3 linked regions of the Callithrix jacchus genome follow. The protein of the gene in region 3 purifies or fractionates together with the protein of the main gene of each other region. This does not show direct contact. Links are inferred from orthologs where the notes say so. Each region holds a gene or a part of one and is shown on either strand. Other genes may lie near its edges.

Region 1 (3,643 bases), on a different chromosome or scaffold from region 3:
TGGTGCCACTGCACTCCAGCTTGGCAACAGCGAGACTCCATCTCCAAAAAAAAAAGCCACTGAGGATTCCTCAACCCACTGCCTTTCCCTTTTTGCTATGGCAACCAGCCAGAGTGACCAAGGGTCTGTTTGCCAGCCTGGGCTTTCAGTGATAAAACTGGGAATGTCCCAAGCAAACGGGGACAAGTTGGTCATCCCACTTGCCAGCAAGCTTGCAGCTGTGTTTAATGTCTAACCATCAGGCCACATTACATAGTGATTGACAGATTCAGATCCAGGGATCCCCCCCCAACCCTGGAGGGCATATGTGTGAGTTTCAGGGGCCCCAGAAGTCCCCTGAGACTAAAGTGCAGGATTTTGTGTGTTATGGATATTCTTTCTGGAGAGACATGCTGTCCAACATGATAGCCACTAGCCACATGCAACTCTTTATATTTTCATTAATTAAAATGAAATGAAATTTTAAAAATTCAGTCTTCAGTTGTATTTAGTGTTTTTGTTGTTGTTGTTTTTTGAGATGGAGTCTTGCTCTGTCACCCATGCTGCAATGCAATGGCGTGATCTTGGCTCACTCCAACCTCTGCCTCCTGAGTTCAAGCGATTCTCCTGCCTCAGCCTCCCAAGTAGCTGAGACTATAGACATGCACCACCATGCCCTGCTAATTTTTATTATTTTTTTAGTAGAGACGGGGTTTTACCACATTGGCCAGGCTGGACTTGAACTCCTGACCTCAACTGATCCACCCTCCTCGGCCTCCCAAAGTGCTGGGATTACAGGCATGAGCCACCAAGCCTCGCCTTTTTTTTTGTTTTTCTGAGACAGAGTCTTGCTCTGTAGCCCAGACTGGAGTGCAGTGGCATGTTCTGGGCTCATTGCAACCTCCATGTCCTGCTTCCTGGGTTCAAGCAATTCTCCTGTCTCAGTCTCCCAAGTACCAGGAATTACAGGCATGCGCCACCACACTTGGCTAATTTTTGTATGTTTAGTAGAGACGGGGTTTCACCGTATTGTCCAGGCTGGTCTTGAACTCCTGACCTCAAGTGATCTGCCCACCTCAGCTTCCCAAAGTGCTGGGATTATAGGCATGAGCCACTGCCTCTGGCCTAGTGCATTTCAAGTGCTCACCAGCCCTAGGTGGCTGGTAGTCCCCAAGGTGAGCAGTACAAATAAAGCACATTTCCATTCCAGAAAGTCTTATTGGATAGGATATGGCTCGTGATTTTTTGTTTTTGTAAATTTCATGTCCTTAGAAGGATCTGTGACCCAAAAAGTACTCATCTACTCCCCTAAAATGTTTGAATAAGTACCTTTTTTACTATGAAGTAATCTGTAAATAAGCTTTCAATCAAGTCCAAAAGCTTTCTCTTTTTGCCACCAACCTCCCTAGCCACCACAGAATGAGAAAGCACAGAAAAAAAGAAAAAGACAAAAATGGCCAAGCACAGTGGCTCACGCCTGTAATCCCAGCACTTTGGGAGTCCAAGGCGGGTGGATCACGAGGGTCAGGAATTCAAGACCATCCTAGCCAACAGGGGGAAAACCTCATCTCTACTAAAGATACAAAAAATTAGTCTGGAGTGGTAGTGTATGCCTGTAATCCTAGCTACTCAGGAGGCTGAGGCAGGAGAATCACTCAAACCTGGGAGGTGGAGGTTGCAGTGAGCCGAGATCGCGCCATTGCACTCCAGCCTGGGTGACAGGGTGAGACTCTGTCTCAAAAAAAAAAAAAAAAAAAAAAGACAAAGACAAAAATGATACACTCATCATCTCTCCACCCAGAAGCAAGCACTGCTAATATACTGATCATTCCCCCAAACTTTCCCCTATGGGGATCTTTTCTTCCCTAAGCAATTAAGATCATACTAGTAACAACAATCTCATTAAAATGCTCTTCTTTAGGCCGGGCGCGGTGGCTCATGCCTATAATCCCAGCACTTTGGGAGGCGAGGTGGGTGGATCACGAGATCAAGAGATCGAGACCATCCTGGTCAACATGGTGAAACCCAGTCTCTACTAAAAATACAAAAAATTAGCTGGGCATGGTGGCGTGTGCCTGTAATCCCAGCCACTCAGGAGACTGAGGCAGGAGAATTGCCTGAACTCAGGAGGCGGAGGTTGCGGTGAGCCGAGATTGCGCCATTGCACTCCAGCCTGGGTAACAAGAGTGAAACTCCGTCTCAAAAAAAAAAAAATCAAATGCTCTTCTTTGACTGGGCCTGGTAGCTCACACCTGTAATCCCAGGACTTTGGGAGGCTGAGGTAGGAGATTCACTTGAGCCCAAGAGTTCAAGACCAGCCTGGCCAACATGGCGAAACCCCATCTCTGCAAAGAATACAAAAATTAGCCGGGCATGGTGGTGCAGGCCTGTGTTCTCAGCCACTCGGGAGGTGAGGTGGGAGGATCACTTGAGTCTGGGAGGGTAAGGCTATAGCGAGCCATGAGTATGCCACTGCACTCCAGCTTGAGAGACAGACAGATCCTGCCTCAAATAAAAAAATAAATAAATAAAAAATAAAATGCTCCTCCTCTGTGCTAAACACGTCACATAAATCATCGCATCTTCATGACAATATTTCAGGTAGGAACTATTAGTGCCCACATTTCACAAGTAAGGAAACAAAGGCTTGCACCAGACCATGTTGGCCAGGATGGTCCCGATCTCATGATCCACCCGCCTCGGCCTCCCAAAGTGCTGGGATTACAGGCGTGAGCCACCGTGCCTGGCAATGCAATGTTCTTAACGTCAGCACTGTCTCGCACTACCAGAAATTCTTTGGAGGCCGGGCGCGGTGGCTCACGCCTGTAATCCCAGCACTTTGGGAGGCCGAGGCAGGTGGATCATGAGGTCAAGAGATCGAGACCATCCTGGTCAACATGGTGAAACCCCGTCTCTACTAAAAATACAAAAAATTAGCTGGGCACGGTGGTGTGTGCCTGTAATCCCAGCTACTTAGGAGGCTGAGTCAGGAGAATTGCCTGAACCCAGGAGGCGGAGATTGCGGTGAGCCGAGATCGCACCATTGCACTCCAGCCTGGGTAACAAGAGCGAAACTCCGTCTCAAAAAAAAAAAAAAGAAATTATTTGGAAATGTCCATTCCACAGTGGCACTCACATTTCATTGAAATGCTCTCTGCTAGAACAATCTGAACTTGGAAGAAGAGGGAGTTTGAAGCTGTCTTCAAGCTCTCCCTATAGTAAACAAAACCAAGATGCACTTCTCTCTGCGCCTGTCTCTGCCTTTTCCAGAGCTGGACTATGTCCTTGGCCACAGTGAGGCGGATGGGATGGCACTCACCACTGATGACCTCCTGCCGCTTCACCTGGCTCTTGGGCAGCCTGTGCAGGGTGTCTGGGGGGATGAGTTCCCGCCAGCCAGGAGGCTCTTCTGGTTCAAGCTCCAGTCCTGACCGTCCTGGCTCCCCGTCATCTCCAGGCTCAGGGCTGTGGACAGAGGTCTTGCTAGGGCCCCAGCTTGGGCCATCTCAGGAAGCAGACTTCAACTTCTTAAGAGTGTTCAACCCCGGTCAGTGGCCTTGGCATTTGATGCCCCAAGGGTAGCCCGTGTGACAGACCAGATCTCTAGATCTGACCAGACTAGAGTCCCCAGATTTCTAAAAACATTCTACTCCCTCCTCCTCCA
Region 2 (3,643 bases), on a different chromosome or scaffold from region 3:
GGAATAAGAGGGCTCAATTCTAAGCTCCCCATTTTGCGGGGAAGCGTCTGTGGGGTCCCTCTCTGAAGCTGAGGGAATGAATTCGTTTCACTCAAGGGGAAACCAGACTCTCAGAACCACTATCTCTTACTGCTTGGCAATGCGTCCTCACAAGTTGGGGAACTTCTCCCTCACGGTAGGTACCAAGAGGGACCTGGCTTCACTCACCATCCTCAGGGCAGGGCCCCAGTTCGTGGCTGTTCCTGGAGTCAGAAGCCAGGGGCTCCTTAGCGGGAGGTGAGAGGGAGCCGTCTGTCCATCGAGCTGCTTCTGTGTGGAAACTGCCCACGGGCGTGGTGCCACCAGACGACTCTCCCCCAAGGGACTTGAGCAGCTCTCTGTGGGCCAGCTCCATGTCCTGGAAGAGTCGGTGGGGGAATGTCTGCTCAAGTCCTTCTATTCCTAAGGTCACACTCTGATCTGTGCTGGGCCTTGGGGAAGGGGGTGTGATTTAAGAGTGGCTGAGTGAGCTGGGGAATATCTCCGGGCCAGGACAGGATCTAGGGCTCATGGGGAATGGTTTTGGGGTGACGGACTGAAGTCTTGCAGGGACAAGCTCTGTTTCCCTCACCTTGAGTCTGTTGAGCTTGAGGGTGAGCTGCTCAATGGTACGGAAGATCATGCCCACGTCCCTGAGGGCCAGGCTTGGGGGAGAGCGGCTGAGGCATCTTGGATCTCCATTGCCTCCCTGCAGCTGAGGCTGAGGTTCTATCTGCCCTGCAGGGAAGCTGTCAGGCTGAGGGGGGCTCGTGGGTGCCCCTGAAAGGTCAGTGCTTGAGTCCAGGGGTCCTGCTGGCATGCTGACATAAAAGCAGTTCCCTGTCCCCACAAGAAGAGAAAAGCGATCAGGAGGCAAACAGAGAAGTTGGAGCTATCCTCCCACTCCCGTGGGGTTCCCCAGCCGCCTGACAGCGCAGGCCAGGCAGCCCTCTCCAGGCGAACCCCGAGCACGTGGCCCTTGCTCACTGTCTGCCAGCCCCCTAAAAGCCCTGCTCCCCAGCCTTTCTAGATGGCACTTTGCTCAGTCTGGCCCCAACCTGGGGGGATGCTGAGCAGTGAACTCAAGGGAGAAGTGTCAGGCTGCAGTGTTTCATCTGGGGAAACGGGAGTGGCTCCCCCTCCTTGAGTGAACAGATCAGGGGCTGGTTTCAGGCTCTTCTGAAAGGAGCAGGCGGCGGCTCTCTCGCCCTGCCTTACTCCAGCTCTGGATGAACTGCAGCCCTGCCCTGCTCCTCTGCCATCCATGCCACGAGCCTCTGGAGGTCCCTCGACCCAACCAAGGGGCACCAGAGACAGTTGGAGGAAAGACGTGGAGGGTTCCTGACAGGCGGGAAGCTCAGAGGACCACTGCGGAACTGGGGAGGCCCTTTCAGCCGCTTTCCACAGTGACACTCAAGTGGCGTCTGGGGTGGGCAAGCAGCTGCTCGAGTATCAGGTGAAGGACACTGGGCTCCCGGCACCAGGCCAGGCTTCCCTGCCCCTCTCACAACTGCACACAGGTGTTTATCCCTGCTGCTCTGAACAGGAGCCTGGACAGGTGGCTTCTTAAAGCTGGACGGACAGCACAGGGCCCCTCCGCATCCTTAGGTCCACATCTTCCTCCTCCCCTTTCCAGGCAGCTGAGGGAGCTGGTGGGTGTGTGTGTGACTGCGGGCAGGGGTCTGGCTCTGCCCTCAGGTCCCACATGCCAGTCCTGGCCTGTCTTTGGCTCCGAGGAGAAAGTTATTACCAGTAGCCTTTGTTCCGCTTTCCACTTCAGGTGGCTCAGGCTCTGACTGGCCACTCTCTGGTAGTGCAGGGACAACCTTGCTGCCTGCCACCTCAGCTGCACCGACACCACCACCACCAGGAAGAGGAGAGACCAAAAGACAAGGAAAGGGAAGGGAGAGACAGCAGGAAGGAGAGAGGGCGGGAGGTGGGGGCAGGGGGAGGAGAAAACGGGAAGAACAAGGTGAACACAAGATCATACATGATGACATCCCAGGCAGCGCAGAGAACTTTCCACCAATTCACCGAGAGAGAAGGAAGGTTAGTTCCCAGAAACCCAGGAGAGAGGCAGGCCTCGGGCAGATGGAATAAAAACGCTACTGGAAGGGAGGCAGAGCGGAGCCCCAGGGGAGGGCGGGAAGCCCCTGCCGCAAGACCCCCTAGTGGAACCCTGCCCTGTGTGTGTCCCAGGCTTTGTTCTGCCTTTCTTGCCACCCTCTCAGACTAGCCCACTCTTCCCGGGGTGAGGATCTTCCTCCCTGGGCTCACTGCTCCGGCCAGGCAAACCTGTCTGCCTCCCTGCGAGCTTGTCTCGGCTTTTCTTATCTCAAGGCCGCCTGTGGTGCTCCCCAACCCGGGCTGCCTTCCTGTCACCCTGTTCACTCCCAGACCCCTCACTCGCCAGGTGTCTTCCCAGCCTTGTCCTCCACGCCCTCCAGTTCCAGCTGCCACCTCTGTTGCCCTCGGTGCTGTTGCCTGGCGTGAGGGGCTGCGTGCCCCTGCCCCGTCTGTCTAGGGCTGAGGCTCCTGGGAAGGGCGGCTCTTTTCCCTGGGACCAGGAGCTCAGTGAGGAGCACTAACAGAGACAGGTTCTGGTAGTTGGTTTGTGCCAGGCAGAAAGAAATGCCCTTATGTGTTACAAAATGAAGTTGAGAGATGATTCACAATTTTCTCTAAAGCCGCGCAGATATTAAGCGGCAGAGCTAAGCTCTGAATCTCCACCGTCCAGCTCCAAAGCCTGCCTGATAGTGGCACGTCGCCTTCTTCCAGGACCCAGCGTAGGTCTCTGCTCACACGACACCCAGGGGCAGCATAGGGAAGGACGCAGCTGTTCCGAAGACTTATCTCACCTAGCAAGGGTGCTTTTCCCTGCACTGGACATGCCCGTTTATTTTACCTTTTCTCACAACTTTGTAACCTCCTGCTGCCTCTGTGCTTGAAGCCTCTTCAGCCGGATTCCTATCCAGTTCTGGAGACTCCCATATCCCAGAATTTCTGGTCCTTGGGGGTAGATCTTCCAGAGAACAGAGAGCCATGTTCTCCTGTTCTGGCCGTTCCCCCTCCGGCCCTGGAATCTGGGTGTTGTCCCCTTCACCCCCAGGGAGGGCTTGCCCTGGGGAGCCTGGGTCCCAGGGGTGAGAGGTGACGCCGATGACTGAAGGCGTGGGTGTCACGTCATCCTCGGGCTCCCGGGCAGCCTGAGTTTCCATGGTGTGACCTGGCAGCAGGCTCCACAGGATCAGGCGTCGCAGGTTCTCCACTGGAGGGAAACAGGGTGGTGTCTTCCCAGCACCGGACTGCGCGCCACGCCAGAGGGATCGCTGTGTTGCCCCACTGACCCCATGCAAGGTGGTGACCTCAGGCACAGGCAGAGCTGGGGGGCTCTGGCCAACTAGCTGGTGGGGGTTGGCTGGGCAATGACATTTGTCTCCGCATCCACCTCTCCCCAAGCACACCAGGGAGAGTCTTTGGGAAGGTGGAGGGTGCAGGCGCCTGTCAGTTTACATAGGCTGTGTGACTGGGGACCAGAGGCTGACGCCAGGGCCTTGAGGCACTCACCATCTTCCAGAGCGGAATCAGCGAGGCCTTCCATGAACAGAGGGCCTGGGAAGGCCAG
Region 3 (4,239 bases):
GTCACTTGTGGCTTGTCTCCTGGCCTTTCAGGTGTCCTGGCCTGAATCCGCTGCTAAGACAGAAAAAAAGTCCCCTGACGGGTCACATCCTCTGTAATCTGGCAGGAAACCTAAAATTTGCATGCTCCCATTCCTCCTGGTGTTTGTGTATCTGCTTCCTTGTTGGGAATAGCCTGCATCACAGTGTCCGGTGTAGGGGATTTTCACCATGACCTCACCCTCCTGCTGCCACTCACTGATTCCAGCCTGGCCAAGCGTCCCCGAAGCCACATCACAGCCCAGGTGGAATGCACATGACTGAGCCATTAAGAGCCCCTAGTAGCACGTCTCCGGTGAACATCAACTCCAGTTCTTTCCCCTGGTAAGGGGGGCGGGGCTGGCAGGGTCTGAAAATGCCAGAAAGAACTGCAAGTGTGGGCGGATGATGTCTGGTTACTGTTCTGGGATTCGGAGAGTAGAAGGTCAAGGGAGTCACCTTATGAAAACACACCAGGCCAGGGAGCAGTGGCTCCGTCTGGAATCCCTACACTGTGGGAGGTGAGACTGGAGGATCACTTCAGCTCTGGAGTTCAAGACCACCCTGGGAAACATAGGGGGAGACCCCGTATCTAAAAATAAATACAAAAAATTAGCAGGGCATGATGGCACACTCTTGTAATCCCTGTGATCCCAGCTACTCGGGAGGCCGAACCTGGGAGGTGGAATGAGCCAAGATAGCGCCACTGCACTCCAGCCAGGGTGACAGAGAGACTTCACCTCAAAAAAAATAAAAAATAAATTAAAAAATGAAATAAAGAAAATGCACCGAAGGCATGCCAGGCTCACGCCGGCTGTTCTGTTCAAATAACTTTCGAGTCCGTGGCCTCGAAAAGGGTCCGGTGGGCGGTGGCAGTGGGCAGCAGGCGCACGCGGGAGAAAGGGCGGCTAAGTGGGAGCCCAAGGAGCCGCGTCCGGTACCTGGTCTCCGGCCTCCAAGCCCAGGGGAAGGAGCCGTTCTGCCCACAAGTGGGCGCAGACCACGAAAGGGAAACAGAAAGTTAGACTCCCCCGCCCCGCCCACGTGACCGCGGCTCCCCAGCCCTCTCAGCGCGCTCCCGGCGGCGGCAGCGAGTGCGGGCACCGGAGCGAGACAGCAAGCGCGTGACTCGCCGCCCAGGGCGGGAGGCGAGGGAGCTGCCGCGGCGTGCGAGCGCGCCCCGGGAAGCGGCGGGAGCGCGCACGCGCCGGGGCCACCGCCCCTCCCGGGCCGGGTCCGCCCTCCTTCCCTCCCTCCCCCGCTCTCCTGGCCCGCCCTGCCCGGCCCGCCCTGCGAGTCAGTTCGCTGGTTCCCTCCCTCCCTGGGCGCGCTCGGGCCGCCGCTGCGCTCCCCGCCCTCGAGCCGTGGTGCCAGAGCCGCCCGCCGCCCGAGGAGGAGGTGGAGGGAGCCGGAGGGGCCCGCCGAGGCGGCGGCGGCGGCGGCAAGATGGCGGACTTCCTGCCGTCGCGGTCGGTGCTGTCCGTGTGCTTCCCCGGCTGCCTGCTGACTAGCAGTGAGGCCGAGCAGCAACGCAAGTCCAAGGAGATCGACAAATGCCTGTCCCGGGAGAAGACCTACGTGAAGCGGCTGGTGAAGATCCTGCTGCTGGGCGCGGGCGAGAGCGGCAAGTCCACCTTCCTAAAGCAGATGCGGATCATCCACGGGCAGGACTTCGACCAGCGCGCGCGGGAGGAGTTCCGCCCCACCATCTACAGCAACGTGATCAAAGGTGCCGGGCCGGGAACGGGGGCCCCGGCTGTGGGGGCCGGGGGACTGGGGCGGCGGCGGGCGCGGGGCCGGGCACCGCCCTCGTCCGCTCCGTCGCTGGCGGAGGACCGGGCTTGGCGGGCGTGCTGGCGGGAAGGGGGCGCGCCCCGGGCACTGGCCCTGCCCGCCCGGGGTGCCCTCGTCCCCCAGGCGAGAGGATGCTCGGGGGCGCCCTGTTCTCCCCCTTGTCTCCTCGGTGGGCGTCACGGCCATTCCCTCACCCCCCACCGCGCCCCTGGTCTCGCCCCCTGCGAGAGGGAAGTGAGGCGAACTGGGTGTCTCGGGGTATGGGAGACCTCTCTCGTCCTCCCCGCTGCGGATGAGGCAGGAAGACCCTAGAGCAGCCTCAGCCCCTGCACCCCCATTCCCGGCTCGGGCGATGTGGGCCGAACCTCGCTATCCCGGCTGAGTGACCCGAGTCACATGGGGTCGCATGCGCTCCCAACTCCCTGCTTCCTTGACCGCCTCCAAGTTCTGGAACCGTCGCAGTAAGGGAACTTTTTGCCTTCTTGTCAAGGGCGTAGGGTGGCAGCCTCCTTTTGGGCAAGGGTATGAAACTTGAGAGTGTCAGGTTGACTGTACTGGAATCAGGAGAGAGTAGACCCATACGGTTAGTCTAAAAAAGTAGCATCTGCCCTTTTTCGCCCCACTGTCACTGTCAGGTAGGATGTTTGCATATAATCGCTGTGCAGCACGCTCCACTCTCCTTTTCGCCAAGTAGCTGAGGGCTGGCGGGAAGGGAGTGCCACTACTTCTATTTAGATGAAATGTTGTAGTTGTAAGAAGACTGGCTTAAAAGTCATGTGGATCCTGTACAGATGAAGACAATGAATGAGTGTTGAGTTAGATAATTGGCCCTGCTCTTTATTGACAGTAGTTTTAAAATTAAATTTTGTTTTTAAGTGGAAAAATAAACAAGTTGTTTATTTCTGGGCATTCAAAAGAATCGAAAAGATGGTTTTTATTTTGTCATTTGAAAGATACTCATTTTTCTGTGTGTCATGTATGTTCTATAGAAAAGGCATTTTGGCAGAATTCAGGTGCAGAGCCTGATACTTCACGTGCATCTGGATTTTATTTTATCTAGGGAGCAGTTCAGGAGCTTGCTACAGATTGCAGGTTTTTTTCATGTCACTCCCACTCCTCCCCTCCCAGCGTTTGGGTAAAGGAAAACTGCCTGAAGAGGCAGGCATTGTGGAGTAATGACTAGAGAATCTCTAGGCCAGCAGCTCACAGACCACAGCCTAGAAGACCTAGTACCTCTGCAGTTAAACTATAAAGAACAGTTGTATTTACCCTGCTGTAATGTTTAGCACAAAACTAATTAAGGTCTCTTTCAAGGCTGCAGACTCTGCCTTAGTCCTTAATCGAAGGTACCTTTGTATCCTGATGCAGCTGAACTTAAGGAATTATGTTAATGAATAGCATCAACTTGTTAACTGATTGTGAGCCAGGTAAACACCTCGTTCTTAATGTACACTGAGTTGTTAAGTGTGATCTACTTTGAGCATTGATTATGAGATGAAGTAAGTTATCAGGAATCTAGTGTTTTTTAGTTGACATGAAAATTGACAATAAAACAGCTTTTTCAGGCTGGGTGTGGTGGTTCACTCCTGCAGTCCCAGCACGGAGGCCAGAGTGGGAGGATGGCTTGAGCCCAGGAGTTCCAGACCAGCCTGGGCAACATAGCCAGACCTCATCCCTATTAAAAAACAAAAAACTAAAAAACACCAGTTTTTCAGTTATTCAAACAAATGACTTCCTACTAGCCAAGTGACTGTTCAGATGGATCAAAGGTAATAAAAACAATAGATCAGTGATAGAAAAAGCAAGCTTGAACTAACCTCTGTGAGCTGGAGTTCAATTTTATATTATTTTGCAGTTGATCTTGCTTTTAGGGAAATTGAAGGCTGTCCTGTGAGTTAAACTGAACTGAAGCATGGGCTGGTAGAAGTTTTTAAATTTTGAATGTTCCTAGAAGACTCAACGTTGGGTTAGGGTGCCGAAGGAGATAACAGAACACAGAGCTAGAATACTTGGTTCTTAGTGTTTCATAAGTGAACATCTTTTAAGTTCATGAAATCTTGGTTGTATCTATTTTCTTCCATGCTTGGACAGCGGTCTATGCAGCATAAGTTCTTTTCCTTCTTGAGTTTGGTTCTTTTTTGACTGCCTTCTACCCCAGAAGTTATTTTATAAATTGGAACATGTTGAAAGTCCTTCAGAAAGAGCAATTGTGCTAATAGTATTTGTTTTCCAAGGCTCTACTTTTAAGACAGTGAGTGGCTGTTATTTTTTTAAGCTCTGAGAAGTTTTTGATGTTGGTCTCCATTTTGGGAGAAGGTATGTCTGGATTGATTCAGAAGTCTAAGGAAATAATACTGGAATAAAAGCTTATGATAATATCTAATGACTTCTTCCCATACATTTTCTTCTTTTTAAACAAAGGTATGAGG

The links.
Region 1: the proteins of GNA13 (region 3) and ARHGEF1 purify together in Homo sapiens (affinity purification with western blotting; 5 studies listed by BioGRID and IntAct, with this or other methods). This does not show direct contact. The link is inferred for Callithrix jacchus from reciprocal best matches to the Homo sapiens genes GNA13 and ARHGEF1.
Region 2: the proteins of GNA13 (region 3) and ARHGEF11 purify together in Homo sapiens (affinity purification with western blotting; 3 studies listed by BioGRID). This does not show direct contact. The link is inferred for Callithrix jacchus from reciprocal best matches to the Homo sapiens genes GNA13 and ARHGEF11.

The regions. Positions count from the first base shown.
Region 1 is NC_133523.1:36,929,197-36,932,839, reverse strand, and holds part of ARHGEF1 (rho guanine nucleotide exchange factor 1), read right to left. Parts: intron 3,445-3,643; coding exon 3,299-3,444; intron 1-3,298. UniProt on the Homo sapiens protein: Seems to play a role in the regulation of RhoA GTPase by guanine nucleotide-binding alpha-12 (GNA12) and alpha-13 (GNA13) subunits. Acts as a GTPase-activating protein (GAP) for GNA12 and GNA13, and as guanine nucleotide exchange factor (GEF) for RhoA GTPase.
Region 2 is NC_133519.1:17,334,245-17,337,887, forward strand, and holds part of ARHGEF11 (rho guanine nucleotide exchange factor 11), read right to left. Parts: coding exon 3,586-3,643; intron 3,287-3,585; coding exon 2,924-3,286; intron 1,865-2,923; coding exon 1,769-1,864; intron 859-1,768; coding exon 611-858; intron 398-610; coding exon 208-397; intron 1-207. UniProt on the Homo sapiens protein: May play a role in the regulation of RhoA GTPase by guanine nucleotide-binding alpha-12 (GNA12) and alpha-13 (GNA13). Acts as guanine nucleotide exchange factor (GEF) for RhoA GTPase and may act as GTPase-activating protein (GAP) for GNA12 and GNA13.
Region 3 is NC_133506.1:124,266,876-124,271,114, forward strand, and holds the start of GNA13 (guanine nucleotide-binding protein subunit alpha-13), read left to right. Parts: upstream 1-1,310; 5' UTR 1,311-1,462; coding exon 1,463-1,745; intron 1,746-2,046; exon of another isoform or gene 2,047-2,216; coding exon of another isoform or gene 2,217-2,271; intron 2,272-2,979; exon of another isoform or gene 2,980-3,194; coding exon of another isoform or gene 3,195-3,237; intron 3,238-4,231; coding exon 4,232-4,239. UniProt on the Homo sapiens protein: Guanine nucleotide-binding proteins (G proteins) are involved as modulators or transducers in various transmembrane signaling systems.